Nothobranchius furzeri: one gene and its partners. The protein of the gene in region 1 purifies or fractionates together with the protein of each later gene. This does not show direct contact. Links are inferred from orthologs where the notes say so. Each region holds a gene or a part of one and is shown in the gene's direction. Other genes may lie near its edges.

Region 1 (4,330 bases):
AACAGGACGTTGATATCATCAACCATTCCCATTTTATTGAGGTATATCCATAGAAATGGCCCACCCTGTACAGCAGTTTGAGGTTTAACGTTTGAGTTAGTCAATTGTGTTCTCAGCAGCCCCTGAAATAAATTATTAGCTTTATTGCCAAGTAAATTGAGAACTTCATATATGCGGAATTTATTTGTGGCATTTAGTGCAAACAGGCCTTCGATGAGGAAAGTCAAAAGGAAAATTAGGACGCACTGCAAATGCAAATATAAAATGCCCATGGCAGTAAAGACGTGAGGGAGTGTTCTACTGATGAAACCATAACAGAGGAAACGTTTGAGTTCTGTTGGACCTCAGACTCCTGCAAAGAAGGAAGCATCAGAAAAACTGTTCAGGATCAGAATAATCCACAAATAATCTTTGCCACCTGCATCCTGGACTTCTACGATCCAGATTGTATCAATGAAACAGATCATAATCTGTTCTTCTCATCAGTAACAGGAGGTCATAAACCACGCCCATCTACTTCCGGACCATGGGACCCCGGAAGAACAATATAAATGAACAAAACTATTTGAGATGTGAGTTGTAAGAATTTGGGTACAAAGTAAAAATAAGTATGGCGAGATGGGGCATCCTTGGCAGATACCATGTTTTAGGTAAAACCAAGCCCCCACAATGCGGGTGAAAAATTAAAGCAAACGCGGAAATGAAATAAATTGCAGTTCCACCCTCATCCGCTGGGGGCTGGTGTCAGAAGCGAGCAAATCCTCATTGACTCCCATGTTAAAAATATCAATTTCACAGCAGAAATAAACATGTTTATGGCCTGGTACCAAAACATTTTTTGGTTTAAATTATCTAGTTTACACTCATGACAACTCTGAGGGGGGTGAATTTTTTTCTCACTCTTCTGTTTAAGTGTATTAAAAGCCTAAAATTCTGTATAATTAATGAGCATCCGACCCATGTGACCGCCGCCTCAGACCCACGTGACCACAGATGGATTTCTTTGTAAAAGTTGTCCATCTTTCCAACAGAAAGATTTGCCTGGACCAACGTAATGTAATAACAACGTAACGTGATTACGTAATTATGTAAGGTTCATGTTCAGCCAATCAACTACTTTGACGTCATCGGCAGTCGACGGACCCCGAGCCGATCTTGCACCCGAACAGATCTTGTACCGACACCGGGTTCCAGTAACTCATTTATTATCTTAAGACGAGGCCGTTATTGTGGAGATGGAAGTACACATATTTTACAGTATTTGTTTGAGGAATCATCACAGATTACTCAACAGTAAGATAAATATATATAAAACGTAGTGTTATTCAGTTGGTTTTAGTATTTTATAACTTAATGTTTTATGTATTTTAAAATAAGAATTACACAAGCACAAAACAAATCAAAAGTACAGAAATTAACGCGACTAAATTGCTGACTAAATTAATTAAATTTAATTTGAACTACAACTGTGGGTCCTTTTATGGAGAGTCGCTTGCATTGATGACATTAGGATAACTAATATTAAGCCTGACTAAATTTAACAATGTTTTTAGCATAACCACTTTAAATGGGGTATTTCAATGATTAGTTTAATATTTGTAGGATTTAGTGAAATTGAAGTAATCGTGTTACCTAATAACTGATACTGTTTAGTCATTTTACATTTATTTTGTTCAGGCATCAGCGGAGGCAAATACCTGCGCGCTAGCTTTTTCGCCAAAGTTCAAACGTTCAAACTGGTCTGTGAAGAACAGCAGTACAGAAAACTCAATAAATGCACACGTCCATAGGGATTATAGCTCAGACCAGGAATAACGCTTTTATTATTGTTAGGTGAACGTTTTATTCTGGGTTCATCATTAGCCGAAGCTGCAATGTCTCTTCCTTCAGAGAAAGCTTCCGAGCTGAAGCAGAGAATCCACAACCATTTACTGAAGGTGAGCCAACTCTTTACTTATGTAGCTAGCCACAGCTTGTGTTGTTAATGTGCTGAAGCGCTCTTTGTGTGTGCGCGCGTGTGTGTATGTATGTATGTATGTGTGTATGTGTGTGTGTGTGTGTGTGTGTGTGTATATGTATATGTATATGCGTGTTTGTGTATGAATGTATGTGTGTGTGTGTATGTATATGTATGAATGTATGTATGTGTGTGTGTGTGTATTTATGAGCCAGATAGAACAAACCCAACCTAAAGTATTCTGTTAGTAAAGTTTATTCTGAAGCGGTGCTTCACTAACGTGTTTCTTGTTTCGGCTAAAGTAAAAGCCTCATAATGAGTGTTTATCTGTGGTCAGATGGACATCCATGGGAAGATCCGAGAGCTTATTGCTGAGACTCTCGGAGAGGATCAGGGCTCAGGGCATCGCTCTCTGTCTGAGGCAGATGTCCTTCGTGTTCTCCAACGCAGAGGCATCATAGACGATGTGATGAAAGATCTCCACTTTACCCAGGCTCCCCTGCACCATACAGATGTTGTTCAGGTTAATAGCTTTGGATATTCCAGGATTAAAATGCCAGATAACATTTGAACCTGATCAAAAGCAGAGTCCTTTATTTAATTTCCTAACGAAATCTGCTTGTTTTGTTAGGGAACAGCTCCAGATGCAGGACTAAAACCTCCTCCGAAGCCCACCACTCATTTTGGAGTGTTTAACCCAGACGTCCCTCTGCATATGAAAAGTAAGAAACTTTGCTTACATCTATAAAATATCAAACTGCACAGTTGCACTGGTTGATGTTTTATTTGCACTCCTCATTTTTCTCAGCCAACGTTGATCCATCTAGACGGTATCTTCATCTCCAAGTTCTTGGAGGGAAAGCATTTCTTGAGCACCTCCAGGAGCCAGAGCCTTTACCTGGTCAGGTGTGCTCTACTTTTAAACTCTACCTACACTTTCACAACCAGAGGTTTCACTCTAAACCAGTACCCTGTGCCTGTGAACCTGACCTGAGGGAGGGTTTCCTGCTGGAGATGCACAAAGATGGCCTCGGTAAAGGATGCAGCTGAATGAGTACATCAGCCCTTCTGTAGTCAGCTTTTACGTCAGAAGGTTTCTGTGGGATTACAGGAGATGGCAGTAAGATGGTGGATGCCACAGACATGCTGTCCATATGTGACCCGGTCCACTTTGTGCTGATCAAGACAGACACCTCTGGTGAGACAACACTTGTCTCCTCCTACTTCCTGGACTGGAGGATAGTTCTCAGCTCGCCAAGTGGCAAGACGTGCTTTGCAGTGGAGCTGATGGGAGTTGGTGAGCAACACACACAGCTGCTGCGCTAGACTCTGATGTTTTTAAAACGGTGAGAATGGATAAAAGTTTAATAAGTTCATCTTAAATCCCCTTTTAAATGCTCCAAATGAAATCTGTGTTATGAACACAAAGCTTTGCATTGGATCGGTTAGCACATATGGGACAGCAGGAGTTTAGGAGCTGGAGCGGCTCGCCCAGTAATCAGAAGGTTGCAGGTTTGATCTCCACTCCGAACAGAGAATGTTGCTGTTGTGTCCTTGGGCGTTAACCGGCCTTGGTCGGAGGGACCGGTGGCGCCAGGGCAGCTGTGGCTACATCATAGCTCATCATCACCAGTGTGTGAATGACTGATTGTGTTGTGAAGCGTCTTGGGGGGGCTGTAGAACCCTAAGAAGGCGCTATACAAATACAGACCATGTACGAAACCCCTCAACAAACAAGCCATGTTACTTCAGGGCGGGGTCTTAAAACGTATTAAAGGATGATAAATGAAATCAAGACCCTTATGAAGTCAAATCAGTTTAGTAAAATCTTTATTTGTTTAGTGTTGATGTGTCCTTTAAGCTCGTTTATCAGCGGTCCTCTCAGGGTTACGTACAGCCTCGCTACAGAGGTGCCAACGTGATGTATCCTCCTCACTTCTAGTCTAAATGGAGACTTCAGTAGATGCCAGCATGAAGAAGGGCACGTTTGCAGAAGTCCAAGAGCTCCACAGTTGGACAGCTGGTGGAGACGTGTAAAGGCCTCAGTGCTTGTTGTCTTTCTGCTCGTGCTTTGATTACAGACTGCTGCAGTCTTTGCTGATAGGTTTGTGTGCCACCAGGAAGTGAATGCAAAGTCCCAGCTGGTGTTTTAACTGTCAGCCTGGAGCTCTACCCTCCTCTCTCCAAGCACCTGAACAGTGATGTCATCAGCACACAGGTCAGTGCAGCAGATTCTCTTTACCCAACTGTTCAAGAAAGGATAAACAAAAGCAAACATGGAGACCTTAATGAGCGACTGCTGGTTACCGTGGTGACCCTGGCAGCTTATCTAACATGTCTTCTGATCTTGGTTCTCTTTCCTCTTCAGTGTTA
Region 2 (4,188 bases), on another chromosome or scaffold:
CATGTTTGACGCCCCTGATATATATGATAAAACACTTGCAATTATAATGGCGCAGAAGTTCAGTGTAACTGTTGTATAACAAATGTAGCATGGACAGCCATGCCAATGCTTTCTCATGGAAAGCAAAGGACCTGGTAGCATTCCTATTGAAATAACTCCACCGACTGAGCCAATCAGTGCTGAGCAGCGTACGTCACGCACACTCAGTTTCTCATAAAACAAAGATGGCTTCTGAAACGGAGTTTGCTTTGGCTTTGTTCGAAATGACTTGGACATGTCTTTAAAACCTCAACATGAAGTGCTAAAAAGCCTTTGTTTAAAAAAAAAGATGTTTGCACTGTCACTAGATGCCATCTTTGCCTACAGGTAATAAATTACAATCGTCACTCGCTTTTTTTTTGGTGATTGGTTATTTTTGAGCTGGCGAGTCCCACCCCTCATGGTGCTGTCTGCCTCCGAGTATCCCGACTCGTCCTCTGTAGAACAGACAAGAGGACGAGTCTGGCACACCAGGCTAAAACAGACGCACACATTCATCAACCTTTCTAACTTGCTGAATGTTAACTCATTTACTGCCATTGACTTAAGTCGTCATTTGCATGTTTTTACTGTGTGGGCATTGGAACGAGCCCCCGCACCATGAGAACAAACAGCTCTAAAGCCGATCTTCGCATACGTCACATGATCAGGAAGCAGAAAATCCATGTATTAGATCATTTGGGGCCGCTACTGTAAAAAAAAAGTGAGGCGCGAACCGGAAAAGCGGAGGCTACATTATTAATAACATGGCTGTACAACCCACCCTTTAAAGTCATCCTATGTAGCACTTTAAATTTAAAATTCAAACACAAGCTGAAACTACTAAAAAGTATCCATAAACACAGTTTGCTTCGGTCATTATTTAAATGATCCAGCAAAAACATGTTATAGAAAATTGTCTCTTCCTTTACCTGCTCCGAATGAGAAGCTGTAGCTAAAGTAATGTAATGGCATCACTGTTCTGATAGTCAGAACTGCTTCCCTTTGAGTTGCTATCAGATAAGAATAAAGTGAGAGCATGTTTAGGACTGAAAACATTGAGGTCAAACTGAGGTTCAGTGAGAAAAAGCTCCAACATTTCATTCACCTCAGTAAAGTCAAATTTGATGGTTTTACTGAGAAAATAGGAGCAAAGCTAAAGACACAACATTATGTCAGATTTGACCATTTCTGTCTGCACTAGTTGGGAACAGTCTAGTCTGCATGATTAGTTGGAACAAAATGTGTGAATGGGGTAAAAATAAGAAATGTGAGTGCAAAAAAGACCCGACCTAAAGTCAGCAGCAGTCAAACATGTTTAAATTTATAAATTTGTTGCATTAAATTGTTAAACTCATCTGCAAATATGTGTTAACAGCTAATGTTTAAGAAATGATGGGATGTGGGGAAATGGCTTCAAATTATTTTATAAATAGTAGGAATGTCAAAACAATGATAGTCCAAATTTCAAACGTTAACCCTTCCATGGCTTAACCCAACCCTAATTTTTCTTTTTAATCTTAGCAAACAGCAGCAGTGTTTTTAATGTTTACTTCCTTCTACTATTACTGTAGATGCAGCTTGGCAGTTTGATGGATTCAGTCGGAAGTTGGTTTGAGAAACTGTACTCGGTGATCCCTCACAGCCTCATCAATACCAGTTAAGTGTGTGATCCCAGTCTTTAATCACACTTGTTGAAACCAGTCTGGTCATGTGTACTCCGGGTCGGTTCCAAGCTTTAGTTATAATTTGTCCACTGACCTGATGGCCTGCTCCCTCTGGGCCTTGCGGACCTCGGGTTTCTGGTTCCTCTTGGCCATGATCTCAGCCAGGGAGGCCCCAGTGATGGCCCTCGTGAATTTTACTGCACGGCGGGTACGCTTCTTTGTCACCTCTTCCTGTTGACACAAATGACATTTACTTGTACCATGCTGAATGTGACATTTTAATGTGCTTTGCATGTCAACAACACACAACTCTAAAATCAGTAAAACTGGTACCACTAACACAAAATAAACGAGTTAATGAAACACTTAACTATTTTATTTCTAGGACAAGAACACTTTAAAGGACAAAGACTTAAAGTTTGAAATGAACATTGAGCATGCTACAAACCCTTACTTGGGTTAATTAAAACAGCAAAAATGCAAAACTGACTGCACCGCTTCAAGGAATTTCATATTTTAATTGTGAAAACTGTCCATCTTGCAATACACCTGAAATAATACAAATGGGTGAAAAATATTATGTTGGAGAGTTTGGAGGCTGGCCAATGCAGAGATGCCAAAAGAAAGACAGTCAAAGGCCAGTACTATGATCCCCAGTTGTTCTATGGCTGCAGGTGTGGTGTGAGCACTGCTGTTAAACTGCAAAACACAGTTCAGCAACAACACATAACATGGACCATCACCATGCACATCGTTCACTCGCAGCCAAATATGCTTGATCAACTTAATGCATGAATAATGGTGTGAATAGAAGAAAATTTACAATGAATGTTATCAATTCAAAACCGCAACATTCAAAAGGACCTTCCTAAGAAAACATAAATAAATCAGAAGTGCCTCGTCCTTGAAGACTAGTAAAAAGCTGCCACTTACAGACTGGCCCTTCTTGTGCTTGCGTCTGTACAGCACAGTCCAGTTAATCTGTCTGGGGTTCCTCTTAGACAGGAAGGCAGACTCGCACTTGGCGTTCAAAAACTGGAAGACCTGCCAAAAACATTTAAATATATTTGATTATACAGAACGTCTTACATTCAACACATATTACATTACTAAAACGATCAGGTTAAAAATACTTCCAGGGCTAGATCAGATGGTAAATGTTGCTGTACTGACAAGCGATATGGTCCATTAAAATGTAAGTCATACATCATTAAATCGTACAACTTACTTCTAATGCAACATACATTACAAAAATAGATAGCATTTACACTTGGTAACATTTTGTGGCTGTACATTTAGAAACATTACATTTGATCATGGAAATTCGTATGAGTCGCTTAATGATGACGTTGGTTGCTAACGTTAACTGTAGCATGTAAAAAGGCTTTCAGAAGATACAACAGAAACGGAGCAATAACATTTCCGATACGATGAACTTCATTTAGAGAAAATGTTAATATCTATTACAGACCGGCTAAGTACAGAACCGGTGTGGGACACAAGATGAAGTTACCTTTCCGTCTATCCTGGCATATCGGCGGCCATGGCCGGGGTATATTTTATACCCACTGAAACTGCACAACTCAACCCTGAAAATGACAAATATAATACATCACAAAAGGGAAAACAAAAACAATACATTTTTATATGGCTAACGCATTAATCGTTTTTATTTAAATGTTGAGATGGCTTTAGATTTTTATTCGGTACACTTACTTCATGATGGCTACGAGACGGCTCACAACCGGAAAGAGAGATGACGGAGGCGGAAACAGAATTAGAGTACTTTCAAAGTACACTTTTAATATCGTTTTAGGCACTTTTCTTCTTTCTTTTGGATAAATACTAACAAAAATCTCAAACCAATAAAATAATAATATGACTACAATAAGTTCATACAATATTTCTCTCTTGCCAAACATGCGCAGCAACAAAACGTAAAGAAAAAAACAAATGTATGATGCAAATAAAAAAGATTATAGTTTTACACTGAATCCTATATATTTAATTTGACGTTTTTATCCAGTCTTTTTTTTTAATTATGGTTTTTCACTACAACTTGGCTGTCGGGACGTCGGCGCGCTTTTGGAAAACTGTAGTCTTTTTAAGACGAAAGTCGATGCAATATACCAATGAAAGTGAATAAGTGAACTGCATTTCCCACAATGCCTTTCGCACAGCATCTGACAACCTAACGACGCTTCTTGCTCTCCCCTTGCTAGCTAACGCTTGCCGTTGTTTGGGGCAACAAGATGGGTGTATCAGATTTACAGAGTGATATAGTTGATGGTAGGTGGTGTAAATTTTGTTTTGTTTTTACAGAAAAAGTAACATTTCCGTGTTTTTTCTGGACATTGGAGTGATGGCTGCATCAGATGACTACCGCTAGCCCGTTAGCATGATTATGAGCAGATCAAAACATCCTGTGTCATTTCTGTCGTCTTACAATGCGCGCAGTTTTGTGTTAAACACATCAAAGCAAAGATTCTTACACTGACCCATC
Region 3 (3,578 bases), on another chromosome or scaffold:
GACTGGGATGATGTTTCATTGTGCTCCGACCAAATGGTGCCATCAGCGCTACTCTAGAGCTCTCACATCTGAGTCAGAGTAGTTCCATTTAGACCTCTAGGTCTGACATGGACACAGCCACAGACCTGGTTTGGTGGATTCCACCCTGAACACGATGTTTTATTTTTGGTTAGGTGTGGAACCTGGCATGGCCAAGTCAGACAAGGCGTCCATCAACAACGAGATGCTATCTGCAGCAAGACAAATCACTACCTCAGAGATGAAGGAGCTGAATGAGAGACAGAGAGCCGAGCATGCCCAGAAAATGTACGAGCACACGAGGAACTCCCTCAGACAGGTGGAGGAGCGCAACGCCGAGCTGGAGTCCAAGTTTGCAGAAGTAAGACGCCAAAGAAATCACGGAGGATTTGTTTTCTTCTGTCAGGCTCTAAAGGCGTGGGCATCAGCATCACAGTGAGCTTTGGTCCATCTGAAAACATACAGACAGTGCTATCTTACATTTCCAGGTGCAGAACGGGGTTTCACCTCACACACAGCCTGTGTGGAAAGACCAGTTCGCTTTATAATTGCTGACCCTTGGCTGCTTGATCTCCTCTCATCTATTAATATTTTCTTTTACCAAATAGTTTTGTGGTTTTGTTTTCCTTCAGCTCACAAAGATGAATGCGGAGGCCCAGAAGACCGAGCGGGAGCTAAGAGATGAGTTGGCAGACAGCGTCAGCAAAGCTGTGAGCGATGCAGATCGAGCCAGGATCTCAGAGCTGGAGAAGGCGGAGGCCGAGCTCCGCTTCGAAGTCTCCAAGTACGTTTCACGCTGTCCCGATACTCCGCTATCTTCAAACACAACCCTGGTGATGGATTATAGAGACAAGAATGTTTTCACAGGAATGATGACTGAAATTCAACCGTTTTTCATGGGCAGGGAGTAACATCAATATTTTAGAAACATGAATGATCTGTTCCTGTTGTTGTGGATTTTACAAATAAAAACTTTAACGATCGTCTTTAGAGAAATGTATAGTGTAAGTGTGTGTGTGTGTGTGTGTGTGTGTGTGTGTGTGTGTGTGTGTGTGTGTGTGTGTGTGTGTTTATTTTAACAGGCTGCAGGAGGTGTCTGATGTGGCGATGGCTCAGGTGTCTGCTCTGCAGGCCCGACAGAAGTCCAAAGATACAGAAGTAGAAGCTTTAAGGAGACAATTACTGGACTTACAGGTAACTGCCAGGGTCCTTGTGTAGGGGATTCCAGCAAATACCAGTGTTGCTTGTTTTATTGTTTTATTTGTTAGTTTCTATTTGTAGATGGTAGCACCTTCATCAGTGACTATAGATGTAGAAGATATAAAGCAGGATTGCTTGATAAATTGATTGAACAGAAGAGAAACTTGTGTTAAACAGGAAAACGCTCAGATTAGAAAAGCCTCACAGATCTATGTCACACTGAAAGCTAACGTTCATGGACCCATCTTGGCTCACGACAGGAAGGGCTGTTGTTGGTTTAGTGTCCAGGAGAGAGCAGAACACATTTGGGCTAGCAGAAGCTAACTGTTAGCATTAGCAACTTCACCACACAGCAGAACTTCATGCTTGAGCTATTTGTGGAGATAAAACATCAGTGTTGCAGAACAAACAGTCAGAGGTAGAGTCACATTGCTGTTAGCCAGTCAGAGGAGAGATATATCAAAATCTGGAAGTAAGACTCCATTTCCTGCCATCTTCTGCTCACCTCTCCTCTGAATCACTTCTAGTTTCTGAAAGAGGAGCGCTAGAGCTTTTTTTCCACAGAGATCGACTCTAAAGGGATTCATTTATACTAGAGACCACTGGAGATGAGTTTAAGAGACTCCCTCCCTCACCTCAGGTCGCCCAGTCATCGTGCTGTTGTGTCAAGAGGTCCTGCTCCGTGTCAAAAAGATCACGTCTCATTTTCTACACCCCACGGTTATTCACAAGTCCCTTCTCCCCAAAAACAAGTGTACTTGTTTTTCATTATTGCGTTTGGACGTGTTACATTTCAAATCACACCCTGTGATTATTTCTGCTGCTTTAATAATAATAATAATAATAATAATAATAATAATAATAATGCATTGAACTTATATAGCGCTTTTCTAGACACCCAAAGACGCTTTCACACACTCTCACATTCACACACTGCTAGTGATGGTAAGCTACTTGTAGCCACAGCCGCCCTGGGGAGGTCTGACAGAGGCGAGGCTGCCATTTGGCGCCGTCGGCCCCTCTGACCACCACTAAGTACCGGCCTTGTTTTAAACCTCCAGACTGAATCTGAAACAGCTTAAAACTCTTGTTTAGTTCCTTTACTTTCTCTCACAGCACTTGAACAAGTCGCCCTGAGACTAAAAATAACCGAATGAATGAGTTTCACACCTCATCTACATGTTTTTCAGGCTGGTCTACTCTGAAACAATAAGAAACGTTGTCTGTGGACACGCTGAATGGAAGCACAATCCCACACTGGATGAACACATTTCAGTTTACAGCAAAGCTCGGCTAGCTTCATTAGAGGCTGTTCTTCAAAAGGAAAAACAAAAACAGAACATTTGTTCACTTTTAACCCAGAACAGTTCCTCTTGCCGTTCCACATTGCTGCTCACCTTAGTTGAGGCCATTTTGAAGTTGGGAGTAAATCCCATCTACCTGTTCTTGAACAGCCTCAGATCAGAGAAATGGAGTTTTCAGAACTGACGAGCTGACGATTCCCGCCAGATTTGCACTTCAGTTCTGTAGGACAGAAAGGCTGTTTCTTCGAACTGAGGCTGTTCAGGAAGCCATCTGCAACAGGTAGGATGATAATGTAAATGCTCGATGCTCTGCATCTGTGTTTTTAGTCCCAGTCCGACGAGAAGGCCCTCATTGCAAAGCTCCACCAGCACATTGTAGCCCTGCAGCTCAGTGAGTCGTCTGCTGTGGGGAGGCTGGAGGCCTCCGCCACCCACATCCAGGCGCTGGAGGCCTACAAGCTGCGTGCCGAGCAGCGACTGGACACTAGCGAGCGAGCTCTGTTTCTCGCCCGCCAGGAGGGCAGGAGCCGCTCCATGCACCTTCGGAAAACCATCCAGTCCCTGCGCCGGCAGTTTGCCGGAGCTCTGCCTCTACCTCAGCAGGAGAAGTTTTCTGTGACTCTAATGAAACTCCAGGAGGACAGAACAAAAGCTCAGGAGGAGAGGAGGAAGGCAGAGGAGGAGAGGAGGGGCGCAGAGGGAAGAGCTGAGGAGCTGGAGCTGAGACTGCGAGGGCTGGAGGAGCTCATATTAACACTGAAGGACATTAAAGGTGCCCAGAAGGTCAGAGGCGATTGTTGTGTTTCAGATATTTCTGAGCTGATGTTTTATTTCCTACTAAACCAAATCTAACCTGGACAGGTCACTGAGTGGCACAGGAGGATGGAGGAGGCTCGCCTCCAGGAGCTGAGGAAGGCTAGGGAGCTGGTAGTGCAGAAGGAGGAGATCTCATACCTGAAGAAGCTCGTGAAGGAGCAGGACCGAACCATCAGCTCTCTGGAGGAGGACATTGTTCAGCTAAACACTGTAAGGAGAGGAAATGAACCCAATCACAAA

Evidence for each region.
Region 2: the proteins of cep76 (region 1) and cep97 purify together in Homo sapiens (co-immunoprecipitation; 4 studies listed by BioGRID and IntAct, with this or other methods). This does not show direct contact. The link is inferred for Nothobranchius furzeri from reciprocal best matches to the Homo sapiens genes CEP76 and CEP97.
Region 3: the proteins of cep76 (region 1) and cep290 purify together in Homo sapiens (co-immunoprecipitation; 5 studies listed by BioGRID and IntAct, with this or other methods). This does not show direct contact. The link is inferred for Nothobranchius furzeri from reciprocal best matches to the Homo sapiens genes CEP76 and CEP290.

Annotation. Positions count from the first base shown.
Region 1 is NC_091745.1:49,054,281-49,058,610, forward strand, and holds the start of cep76 (centrosomal protein of 76 kDa), read left to right. Parts: upstream 1-1,464; 5' UTR 1,465-1,874; coding exon 1,875-1,937; intron 1,938-2,294; coding exon 2,295-2,480; intron 2,481-2,588; coding exon 2,589-2,679; intron 2,680-2,765; coding exon 2,766-2,990; intron 2,991-3,068; coding exon 3,069-3,254; intron 3,255-4,077; coding exon 4,078-4,175; intron 4,176-4,330. UniProt on the Homo sapiens protein: Centrosomal protein involved in regulation of centriole duplication. Required to limit centriole duplication to once per cell cycle by preventing centriole reduplication.
Region 2 is NC_091754.1:25,617,007-25,621,194, forward strand, and holds the start of cep97 (centrosomal protein of 97 kDa), read left to right. Parts: upstream 1-1,383; 5' UTR 1,384-1,592; coding exon 1,593-1,677; intron 1,678-1,779; coding exon of another isoform or gene 1,780-1,916; intron 1,917-2,262; exon of another isoform or gene 2,263-2,445; intron 2,446-2,618; coding exon of another isoform or gene 2,619-2,729; intron 2,730-3,198; coding exon of another isoform or gene 3,199-3,274; intron 3,275-3,401; coding exon of another isoform or gene 3,402-3,607; exon of another isoform or gene 3,608-3,937; coding exon of another isoform or gene 3,938-3,974; intron 3,975-4,188. Other genes in the region: rpl24 (large ribosomal subunit protein eL24), read right to left, coding at 1,780-1,916, 2,619-2,729, 3,199-3,274, 3,402-3,607. UniProt on the Homo sapiens protein: Acts as a key negative regulator of ciliogenesis in collaboration with CCP110 by capping the mother centriole thereby preventing cilia formation. Required for recruitment of CCP110 to the centrosome.
Region 3 is NC_091744.1:50,579,355-50,582,932, forward strand, and holds part of cep290 (centrosomal protein of 290 kDa), read left to right. Parts: intron 1-173; coding exon 174-379; intron 380-650; coding exon 651-802; intron 803-1,100; coding exon 1,101-1,212; intron 1,213-2,849; coding exon 2,850-3,305; intron 3,306-3,383; coding exon 3,384-3,548; intron 3,549-3,578. UniProt on the Homo sapiens protein: Involved in early and late steps in cilia formation. Its association with CCP110 is required for inhibition of primary cilia formation by CCP110.